Saccharomyces cerevisiae S288C: one gene and its partners. Changing the gene in region 1 together with any one later gene gives a genetic interaction. Each region holds a gene or a part of one and is shown in the gene's direction. Other genes may lie near its edges.

What was found. Genes that interact genetically often act in the same process or in processes that back each other up.
Region 2: mutations in PRS5 (region 1) and OCA4 together harm fitness more than expected from each alone (negative genetic interaction), as found in Saccharomyces cerevisiae (2 studies listed by BioGRID).
Region 3: mutations in PRS5 (region 1) and OCA5 together harm fitness more than expected from each alone (negative genetic interaction), as found in Saccharomyces cerevisiae (2 studies listed by BioGRID).

Annotation. Positions count from the first base shown.
Region 1 is NC_001147.6:210,152-214,639, forward strand, and holds PRS5 (ribose phosphate diphosphokinase subunit PRS5), read left to right. Parts: upstream 1-2,092; coding exon 2,093-3,583; downstream 3,584-4,488. Other genes in the region: CRT10 (Crt10p), read right to left, coding at 1-114; APM4 (Apm4p), read right to left, coding at 369-1,844; MAM3 (Mam3p), read right to left, coding at 3,866-4,488.
Region 2 is NC_001135.5:287,670-290,911, reverse strand, and holds OCA4 (Oca4p), read left to right. Parts: upstream 1-1,653; coding exon 1,654-2,742; downstream 2,743-3,242. Other genes in the region: YCR095W-A (uncharacterized protein), read right to left, coding at 1,115-1,273; aminophospholipid translocase regulatory protein CDC50, read right to left, coding at 2,975-3,242.
Region 3 is NC_001140.6:45,429-49,701, reverse strand, and holds OCA5 (Oca5p), read left to right. Parts: upstream 1-1,733; coding exon 1,734-3,773; downstream 3,774-4,273. Other genes in the region: WSC4 (Wsc4p), read right to left, coding at 1-939; ECM29 (Ecm29p), read right to left, coding at 4,012-4,273.

The DNA of each region.
Region 1 (4,488 bases):
AAATACTTCTGAGTCAAAGCACTCTCTTGTCGATACTGCCCTTTGTATGATGGCCCGAGACTTAAGCCACCTTGTAAAGAGATCATCATTTTCATTGGGAATCTGAGGGGGCATTATATTCAAAACCAAATTTTCAAGCCTAGAAGTACCAGTGCCTCTTGATTGCGCTGTTGATCTTCATTACTATGGTGTTTTTGGTGTCTTGTATGGTTTTTCCATGTTTTTTCCCTGTTTTCTTTTCAATGAAAAACTAAATTGCATGTCTCTCATAATAGAAAATATTCAATATTAACAAAATGTGCATTCTAAAGGAAATTACTATAAAAAATACAGGCATGATAAAAATATATGTACACAAAAATTACGGGCTAGTACCTCACCTCGTAAGAACCGGCTTTCGATATATATTTAATCCATTTTACAGCACGATGCTTACTGTCTTTTCCAGAAATGGTAAAGTATCGTACGACTAAGCCAGAATTACTGAACATCATGACCTCGAATTCCAGGGATATTGGAGGTCTTGTCCATTGTTGAAGATTCAATTGAGTAGTATCACTTGTGGACACAGTAACTGCACTTAAAGTGTTTTCCGTCAACCCATTGTACTTGTTGAACCTCCAAATCATTGCATTTTCTTCTGGCACAAACTTACAGTGGCCATTAGAGACACTTATCTTACAATCCACAGTGCTTGGTGGAACGGGTATATGTAGTACCACATCTTTGGCGGAAAGTTTTCCAGGAAATAAAGACTTCAATGTTATCCTGTAATCAATCTCGTTATCTCTTGTAGAATGTGTAACAATAGGTGTAACCTTGAACGGCAGGTTTATGTTATCTCGTACATGATATTTCATCAACTCCATCGAACCGTCTGGTGGGACGAATTCAATGATATGATTTCTGTTAAATTTGTCAAGTGAGACACATTCGTGAAACTTGCAATCTTCCAACAAAACACTACCGGCAGCAGCTTTGGGAATGAAGTTCTTGTTTCCAAAATCGCTGCCAGAGTGACGCTGCTGCTGTGCTAACCATTTCTTCTCGTCTTCGGACTGCATTCCCAAAGAATCATTCAATCCAAATCTACAAATAGGGGTCCCACTCAAGTGTGTGGTGATATCTATGGTGCCATCAACGTATGATTTCAAGATAGAACCATCCCTAGATACCAGAATGTTTATCCTCTCATTGACATACAAGAAAACTTCATCCTTCTTGTGTATTATCCCCTTGGGCCTCCAAGTGATCTTATTGTTATCATAGAAATCAGAAGTGGAGTCTCCTTGACCCAGGAAACTACTGCTTCTTTTTGTCAAAAATTTGGGAAAATGTAGTTCTCCTGCTGAAGAAGTAGGAGATGAAGAGGAAGATAATACATCATTTCCATCGGGACTATCTAACAATCCGCCCATATTTCTAACGGGTTTCACAGACATCTGCGCTATAACAGAGTTCAATTCAGTGTCAATTGGTATCCCATTTCCACCCAACATTATATCCAGCATCTCATGCACAATCATGAATTCCTCTTTCAAGGCCTCCTCTCTATCCAATCGATAAGCATTCATCACTGCATCAAGCTTATATAAGAACTCCCAGATCGCCGCACTATTAGCGTTGCTTCTCGTAATGGTTACCAACCACAAATTGTCACCATGCCTCGACCTGATGTGATGGAAAGTAGTTGAGCCCAGTGTCAAAACAGGCGATCTAACATCTAGATTATTGATCACTTGTACTCGGAAGATATCGGATATGGACCGCTTCAACGAGTTCTTGAAGAACTTGTTCAAGACAAGTTCACCTCTCGATGAGTATACCAGCACACCACTAATCATTGCTCACCATAACTCTATGTGATTCTTTTCTCCAACCGTTTATGAAAGGTTTCCACACTTTATCATCAAGTTCTCCTATACTAATCAATTAAGGAAAATATGGCTGTTACCCTTCGACCGCAGTTGAAAAAAATTTTCTATCAAATAATAAATGGCTACGATTAGCGAGAAGGGCTGGATGAGATGAGAGTAAGTTGGTCGAAAGTGACTTTGTTGGAGGTTGCTACGAGGCTAGGAACGCAGTCTGGATGTCAATGAGTAATATTGTTGTTTTTGGAGGGGACTCGCACCCCGAGTTAGTTACTAAGATCTGTGAAAATTTGGACATTCACCCATCGAAAGTAGAATTAGGGAAGTTTTCTAATGGGGAAACGAACATTGCTCTTCGCGAATCTGTTCGTGAAAAGGATGTATATATCATCCAGAGTGGTTGTGGCCAGGTGAACGACACGTTCATGCAGTTGCTGATTTTAATCAGTGCCTGCAAGTCCGCTTCTGCCTCGAGGGTTACAGCCGTAATGCCATATCTCTGCTACTCGAGACAGCCAGATATTCCATATACTGCCAAGGGTGCTCCCATAATTTCCAAGCCTAAAGAAAACTATACTTTTGAATCGCATCCAGGCACACCCGTGTCATCTTCTTTAATGACGCAAAGACCAGGTGCTGAGAGCTCGTTGAAGAGTTTGGATAGTGCAATACGATCAACTATCAACTTAGAAAATCCTCAACCTATCAGAACACCAAACAGCAGTGCTACGGCGAATAACAATTTCGACATCAAGAAGACGCTTTCTTTTTCAAGAATTCCTATGATTCCCGGTGGTAAGTTACAAAATACAAGCAATAGCACGGACGCTGGTGAATTGTTCAACGCTCAAAATGCAGGCTATAAGCTATGGGTAGTACAAGCCGGTACTTTGATTGCTCATTTGTTGAGTGCTGCAGGTGCTGACCATGTGATCACAATGGATTTGCACGATCCACAGTTCCCTGGGTTTTTTGACATTCCAGTGGATAATCTCTACTGTAAACCCATTGCACAAAACTACATCCAGCATCGCATTCCAGATTATCAGGATGCTGTGATCGTTTCTCCAGATGCTGGTGGTGCAAAGAGAGCTACGGCTATTGCAGACGCCTTGGAATTGTCCTTCGCCCTAATTCATAAAGAAAGAAGATCTCAGTTATTGAAGGGCCCTCCAGATGCGACGTTAACCTCTGGTGGTTCGTTACCAGTATCTCCAAGGCCATTAGTTACTACTTTGGTTTCCTCCCAAAATACTACTTCTTCAGGTGCCACTGGGGTTGCGGCCCTTGAAATGAAGAAAACAACTTCAACATCTTCCACCTCGTCGCAATCTTCTAATTCGTCCAAGTTCGTTCAAACTACCATGCTTGTTGGCGATGTTAGAAACAAGGTGTGTATTATAGTCGACGACTTGGTGGATACTTCATACACTATTACAAGAGCTGCGAAATTGTTGAAGGATCAAGGATCTACCAAAGTTTATGCCTTAATAACGCACGGTGTTTTTTCCGGTGATGCGCTAGAAAGAATCGGCCAAAGTAGTATAGATAAGTTGATCATTTCTAACACGGTTCCTCAAGATAGAACACTACAGTACCTAGGTAAGGACAGAGTGGATGTTATTGATGTCTCCTGCATAATCGGTGAAGCAATTAGAAGAATCCATAACGGTGAATCCATTTCTATGTTGTTCGAGCATGGATGGTAGTGGCATTGATGTGTTCATTTTTTTATTGATAAAAATAGGGGAAAGTGTCTATATATTTTGCGTATAAAATTCTCTACATTTTTTTTTCTTTGTTTAGTATGTGTATTGAAACATTTTATTTATAGGTTAGAGAAACAAAAAAAAAAAAACTGCAATTTCTTCTTGTATGTCTGTAGAAAAAATTTTAAGCTGCTCTCCCCTGTGATTTCATGCGTCTGGGACTAATAAGAACGGTGATGATGGTTATTATGATGCATGGGCAATTCTTTTGGCATAATCTCTTCATCTTTTTATGGTCGACGAGGAGCCGTTGGCATCATAATTGGAAGTTCTTGACAAAGAGTCGGTGAAATTAGAACGATCATTGTTGTTAGCGTTTTCGTTCTTAAATTTATTCTTAATACTGGAAAATAAACTTGCATTTGAACTTGAACTTTCTCTATCGTCACTTCGATTAGAATTCTCTTGATTGATATTCTCGTTTCCATATTCACTTTTGGATTCGTCCCAATCTTTTGCGGGGCCAATGATGGTTTTTGGAACACCTTTGACTGTGATGACAGATTCCACAATACCATTCTTCGTATTTTGGTAAGAGGTTGAGATTGTAACGTTTTGATTTTCGTTGCCGTGATTCGCGCCAGAATTTGGAATTGATATACTATCAGGGCTATTTCTCGTGGTTTTAGTCGAGGTAGTAACTTGAGTTGGTTGACCCGACCGTTGAGTATGGAGAACAGCTTGGCGAGATAGCTCTGCATGATCACTTAATAGTTGTTGTTCTTCGGCGGAGAGTGATTTATCATTTGAGTGTGGTGCTGGAGAAGGCTCTTTGCTAGAATGAGGAGTGTGTGTAGTAATGATTTTCGGAACATTGGCAGGCTTTTTAATGGTAACAAAAGATT
Region 2 (3,242 bases), on another chromosome or scaffold:
GTCTTTTACTTCACATTGAGTTTTTGTAGCTCAACAGTCTATTTATCAAATATACTTGTTGGAGACCTTACAAAAGTGTCTTTCTACATCTCAACTTAAAGTGATGAAGTTGACAAGGGTCTTACTCTGAAATTCCATCAGAGTAACTACGGTAATCTATATGGATTTCTGTTGGTCTTTAGAACAATCTCTGAGGATGAATTCAAGACTCACCTTCCAGTACATAGTAATCGTAGGCCCTTGTCTGTTATTGTAGAAACTTCTTCGTTGAATTTTAATAATGTGAGACGGAAAGAAATACAACCATATGAACAATTTTTTTAATTGTTAGTTATCCTGCGAACTGTGAGGACCAGTTTAATATATGGGAGGAGTTGAAAAAAATACAGTTTTAAGACTTTAAGCTTTCACGCAATCACTTACATTCTTTTGTGTGTATGCAGGCTATAGCTATCATTGAAATAGTAAAAGAAAGCAACTCCCGTCACTTTTACCATTGGTTCTAGAATGGGTTTGCAGTATGAAAAAAAATGAACGTAAAGAATATATTTCAACTGTCATTTTTAGCCCATTTCGAAGAATGATTGAGCACCGTCATTGATCGCTTAAGATGGCTAGCTTCAACATAGCGGAGTACATTGGAAAATCAGTGATCATTCTGTTGACTTCGTTTCAAATAATTCAGGTCAATATAATGTTAGAGTGTTCAATTTAGTGGGCAGTTTGTAACATGTATTATTGAGCAAGTGAGCTCTGATATCAGAGACGTTAACATGCAACTCAACCAAGTTGACTCATTCAAGTTGTGCTAAAATGGCCGTAGTGGAGGGGAGGGCCAGCGATGCAGGCGACACCAGCAACAGTTGAAGTTAGTTTTACCATTATGTTCGCTTTGCTTGTTAGTGCTGAATAGACTATACTATAAAAGGAGCAATGCAGGATATTCTCCAAGGCATAATGTGTGAAGTGGCCTATTAGTATGAATATCTTAGCAGTTGTTGCTGCTCAAACGAATCATTACACATCTCAAATCATCCTTTGTTCACTTTCTCTTTCTGCACCTACATCACCGTCTTTAACTGCCTTTATTGAGATGTGGCTGCTCCTGACCTGTTCACCTTTTATAAATCTTGCATAGGAAGGCATGCATTGAACTTTTTTTATTTACTTTCGTATGTTCAGACGAAAAAAAAAAATATTTCAGGATTACTTTCCGAAAGAATCCTTTGTATACATGCAATATCCTTAGACCCAACTTGATTAGAACTGTCATCCAGAAGCCCAATGCTCAAGCTTTGAATATCATATTTTAAAAGTTTTTTATGACAATGAAATTTTGTTTCTCCAAGTCAGGACACGGGGAAAATCTTTACTTTTAGTGCTATCCATAAATATACAGTTCTTTAGCCCCATATTTTATCAGTAAAACTACTTATGGCTGTCCTTACCGTATGCGGTATAATGAAACTTTTGAAAGGAACATCTTAATATACCGCCTTGACATATCCGGGTAATAATAATACAATATTCGGAAGTTTTCTAGCATTAAATGGACAGTAAGGTAAAGAAATGAGATGTGGTTGTTATATGGAGATCGTAGAATAAAAAGAGAGACACTTACAGCACTGGTGCGATCCATAACCTGAATTCATAATGCTGGTTCCACCTGCTAACTTTGGGATTGCTGAAGAAGGAATATATAGATGTTCTAAAGTGGAGACATTAAATTTATCCTTTCTGGAAACTCTCAATTTAAAGACAGCTATATTTATTGGAGGTCAAGAACCATCCAAGTTTTTCAAAGATTTTTTCACAAGATCATCCATAAAATGGATTGTTTTAAGGATGTCTGATTTCTCGGCTGCGGCAGTTCCGGTAAAAAGCTCTTCTGTATCTAACGCAAATTTATATTCGAATAATAACAGTACTCTATCATTACAGGAAGAAAAGAAAAAATCCACTGCAAATGGGTCACAAAATTCTACTACAGGGGATCCTGTAATTCAGGAGGAATTGGCTTACCACTTGACTGACAATGATGACTTAATGCTGATTAAGAGCACGTGTTTAAAAAGAACTTTCAAAACATTATTGAATGTGGATAATTATAATGTTTTATTGGTAGATAAGACCGCGTTGGTCATTGGTATACTTCGAAAAATTCAGAAATGGAATATTGCATCAATCATAAATGAGTACAGATTATTTTCTGGTAAGAATAGAAATTATTTTGCGGAAACATTTCTAGAAATAATTAACATTGAGATAGAACAGGAGAAGGATAATAAGACAATTGTGGACAACAAAGCAAAAAAATTGCCCCTTGAGAATAATAGGACGCATTCGATAGAGTATAAGGCCAATTCTGGCAAACTTATTAGAGTAAATGAAGATGACCTTTGCAGAGAGCCAGAAGTGCCTCAGCGGCTTTTGACATTAATAAATCAAATCGAAACCAAAGTGAAAAATAATAAAGTATTACAAGTAAGTGGAGTTCTAGGAGACGATTTGAAGAAAACCTCTTCTGACCTAGGAATTTTTGGCCATAGGTATAGATTAGCATTTAATAAAAAAGAAAATGGAGATTATGGCTATTATAAAGCAAGGGGAAAAGATAACGTCAAAATAAGGATACCCTGTGATTCTGAATTACCAGATTGGTTCAGGTTTCAACGAGATTTGTGGGAAAAAGAAAACGTTCCGGAAGAGCATCACTTTTATAGGGAACATATTTTTACATAGTTTACATTTTTACGTATATGTATAGATGATTTCATGATAAACGTTTTCCACTTTTCTATCATTTCATCATCTAAATGGGAATAGCAAACCCTGGGAGTTCTTTGTCGCACTATTTTCCAAGCGTAAAAAGGCATACTTCAATTTTTCTTTTGTTTACGTTTCAGGAAGTCAACAAAACTTGTTTACTTATAAACACAAATACCTACAGGCACTAAAGTTTGTTTTTTGGCCTCTATAAAATTTCCCTCAATGTTGTATTCTCTGCGTGTACATCCTCATAATCCTCGTTTTCTTCATCATCAAAATTCAAATAAGTGTGATCACCCATCGCTCTTGGTTGGAAGATTAATTTAACCAAAAAAATGATGCCAAATAAGGCGCAAAGCCCTGCAACGATGAGGTACAGTACGCCTAGTGACATATTTCTACCACCAATAGCTCCATTTGTAGTCAGTACAAATGATTTTGTGCCACCAAAGAGTGAAATCGGATAATTCAAC
Region 3 (4,273 bases), on another chromosome or scaffold:
GGACGTTATTGGAGATGCTGTGGTACTGGTGTAAGTAACCGTAGTGCTTGAAGGGGCTGTACTGGGTGATGTCGTAGTGAACGTTGTGCTCGTTGGTGTTGTATTAGACGAGCTTGTAGGTGCTGAAGAAGAAGTTGGCGATGTTGTACTTGTTGAAGTGGAAGTTGACGACGTCGTGCTTGTAGAAATGGGGGCTGACGATGTTGTGGTTGGAGTTGATGATGATGATGATGATGTGCTCGTGGAAATGAGGGTTGACGACGTAGTACTTGTGGTGGTAGATGTTGATGATGTGACACTTACGGTCGTAGAAGTCGACGATGAGGTACTTGTGGTGGTAGAGGTTGACGATGTCGTGCTTGTGGGAATGGATGTTGACAACTTTGTGCTTGTAGTCGTGGGCAGTGCCGATGTTATATCAGTTGATGGTGTTGTACTGGTTGAGGCGGTTGTCAATGGGGTCGTACTCGTTGACGTCAGAGTCGGCGAGATTGTGGTTGTGTCCACAATACTCGTACTACTACTACTCGTGATAGAGCTACTTGAAACGTACACACTGGACTCTGTTGACGTTTCCACACTCTGTACAGAACTTAGCGGGGTTTGCCCCAGATATATATAACCAAAAAGATCCTTATCCGCATTACCACAATCTTCGTAGCCATAACCGGGACAAGTGCCACTGCAGTCTCCCACCGATGTCTGAGTGCTCGGTTCCGAATCACTGCACCAGCACATGAACCCCTGTACGATGGCAAACTGATGACCAGCACAGTTATTTGAACACCAACCATTACTCTGAAATTGATTTCGTACACCGTCAGTGGTCGCTGTGTTTTGCGACGAACACACAGATTGCGTAGCCCGTACCAGGCTACTGCATATAACGCTACATACTAGCCATATACTAACTTTTGCGCTCACCATTGACGTCTGCATGCGTTTTTGGTTTTGTAATTCGAGGTATCTAGCCTTTCTTTCCTTTTAAAAAATAAACAAAATGTACTTGCTGTCATGAGCTCCCTACTGCACCCGCCCCTGAAGCAGGGCAAATCACACTAGCACAGAACGCATATATATATATATTTACACATAACGACCTTGCTGTTTGCAACAAAAGGATTTGCTTACCTTAATTCATGCCCGTATCTTAACGTCGCCCAAAGTGGAAATACCGTAATAGTACCATTATCCTACAGTAAACACTTGCTGCCCGAAGGGGAAACCAAAAAAGGCGCAATATGCAGGTACCGTGCCTCCTGATTCCCTTTTTCACCGTACTCATTCCGTTCCGGGAACCACATTAAGGGTTCCCGCGGCCCCGTCTGTGTCTCACAGTCAACGTCAGGTCCGTACAGAACGGTGTCTCGAGCCTTATCGCTGCACGCCATATACTGTGGATATAATCCGTAACGTCGCAGTAGCAACCGTTCGATGTTGTTGTGCTGTTGTTGTGCTGTTGTTGTTGTTGTTGTTGTTGTTGTTGCCGTTGATACTGAATACTCTTACGTTATCATACGATATATTCTCAATCATTTGAGACGGGAAAGCAATGGACTCATTCGTGAGGAATGATACATATTTTTCATTTTTTTTTTTTTTCAGGTTTCTTGGAAGCTATTCTGTGGGAGCTTCAAATTCCTGGTAGAAATTGATAATAGCTCAGACGTACCTGTAGATCACTATTCGAAATTTCTTAGAGACGTTACAGGGTAAAGGGCTCGCTAGCAAATATGCACGACAAGAAGTCGCCCATGGCGAATTCCCACTACTTGAAAAATCTAAAACAGCAGTTTCGCAACAAGAACCTTATCGAAACGACTATCCATCTAGTAAAGTGCAATGACCATGACTCATTGGCCTTTTTAGCAAGAACATACGGGGTTCCACCACAGTTGCGACACGTCGTGTGGCCGATCCTGCTGAAGTACCACCCAATGTGCATTTCACCAAACATTACCTCCAATACCATTTCTTGGGACCCAATAACCAATGATTTCATACTTAATGACCCTTTTCTGAAAAGTAAGGCTCCAACCGATAAGCAAGACAAGAGCGACGATGAAAATATTCTCCCGTACGATATCGAATCCATTATCCTGCATGATTTGAAAAAATACTTCCACTCCAGGTCTAATCCTGCTGGCTCATCGAGTAATGCTAACACCACCAATATCGCCACCCCGACACCTGTTTCGTCGTCCGACGCTTCCACTATTTCTTCTATGGAGGTACTGTCTCCCTCATTAGACTATGAGTTCCAGATCATCGAGACTTTGAAAAATGCCATCGTGAAATTTCTGCTGAAGTGGTCAAAAATCTTCAAGTACGAAAGCGGTCTTGCCTGGATTGCTCTGGGATTGGCTGAATGGTATCCCATCTATCCCTACGAAACCATGTCTCCTTTCAACGAGACTCATTCATTTTACGAAGTGGAGGATTATGTAGTTCTGAGCGGAAGAAAGCACGCTCTTCTAAGCACTAACAACGGCAATAACGGAAATAGCAACTCCTCTAGCAACAACACCAACAACAATAACACGAATATAACATCGGGCATGCACAACTTGAGCATCAACACAAATACCAGCTTGCACAATTCTCCGTACATTTCTCACACGTTATCATATCTTTATAAGGAATATCCGTTACCCTTTGAGCTGCGATCAAAATTGCCTACAAAACCAATTTTCTCATTTAGTGCCCTTTTCGAAAGACTAGCTCTTGTCATTCTACATTGCCCTGATACCATACTGGCACACAAACAATTGAAAAATGACTCGAACGCATCTTCCAGCTCAAAGGCAAACTCAAACTTCAACACAAATTATTTCCCTATTATATCTGGTGGCGATCTTTCATTTCAGACCCAAGTTTTTTTCAAGGTATTCTCTTCAATTTTGCCAGAGCTGTACCAACCTTTGACAGAGGAATCTTCCTTACAACCTTCGTCGTCAAGAAACTCCTGGATATATTGGTGGTTGAAATGCTCTGGAGCTAAAGCTTTACAAAGACAAGATAGAGGGCGTGTATGGGATTTGCTGCTCGGTTGGAGGCCCAAACCAAACATGGACACGATAAATTTCTTTTTGAACTATAACGATAAGAAAATGGATCACCTCTATCACGATACACCACAATGTGACAACGAGCAGTACTGGATGAAAGATTGGATCGCTTTGTACAATAATGATCCGTTTTGGTTCCCCGATCTGGATAGCATGGCACTAGGTTCGAAAAAATTTCCCTATGATTATAGTGTCTTCAAAGAATTAATTTTAAGGAATAGATACGGAGGTACTCAAAGCAAAGCTCAAAAGGACAACACAGTACCATCTCCTGGTAGTGATTCAAATGATAAGTCAGAATTGAAACTACCGTTTTCTTCCATTGATCCTCATATGCAATTGATTTTCATTTTCATCGCGATTTTGCAGTTTAACGAATTTAAGCTATTAGAATTTGAAGAAGCGGAAATTTCTGAGTTTCTTAATAACGTTCCTCTGCTAACAAAATTTGATGACTCTTCCTATAGGAAGTTATACGAGAATACAGAATCTAGCATAACCAGTTTGCCTTCTTCACCGACTACTTCTACAATGGCGTCATTACAATCCAGTTCCAATTCGAGTGCCCATATCTCGAATTATCACATGTTAATCGAAGTCGGTAATGATGCTAAGGCTTCCCATTGTTTTGATGATCTTTTAAATATGGCTGGGGATATTTGGAGGAAATGGCTATGGAGAGAGTTAGAGGAAAGCTCTCTTTGAAAAGTTGAAATTATTTCCTTTAGAATTATATACTACTTCTACACAATTTTTAACACCTTGCATACGAATTTTTATCTCTAATCAATATTCTTCAAGCACTTTTTGAATACTTTGATGTTTTGATTTTTCGGAAAAGTTAATATTTAGTACCGATACTATACATTATTTTATAAACAAACGTCTTTCTAGATAAGTTTTATTAACTGTTCTATTTATCAATATGAAAAAGTTTCGGAGTTCATAGACCAATATTTTTCAATTCCAACTCAATTCTGCTCGTTGAATCAATACTGTTCAACAACCGTAAGTTTTCCTCGATATTGTTCTGCAAGCTTGGAATCTTCTGAATGATCAGGCCACCGAACTTTATCATCTGCAATTTCACATTCTCAATGGTTTCCTTGTTACAATTTATTGGAAAAGTTTGATCCCATAGTCTCCCCACATTTTGGATAAAGTCAGCGCTACTTATGGTACTAAATCTTCCAACTATCGAGATA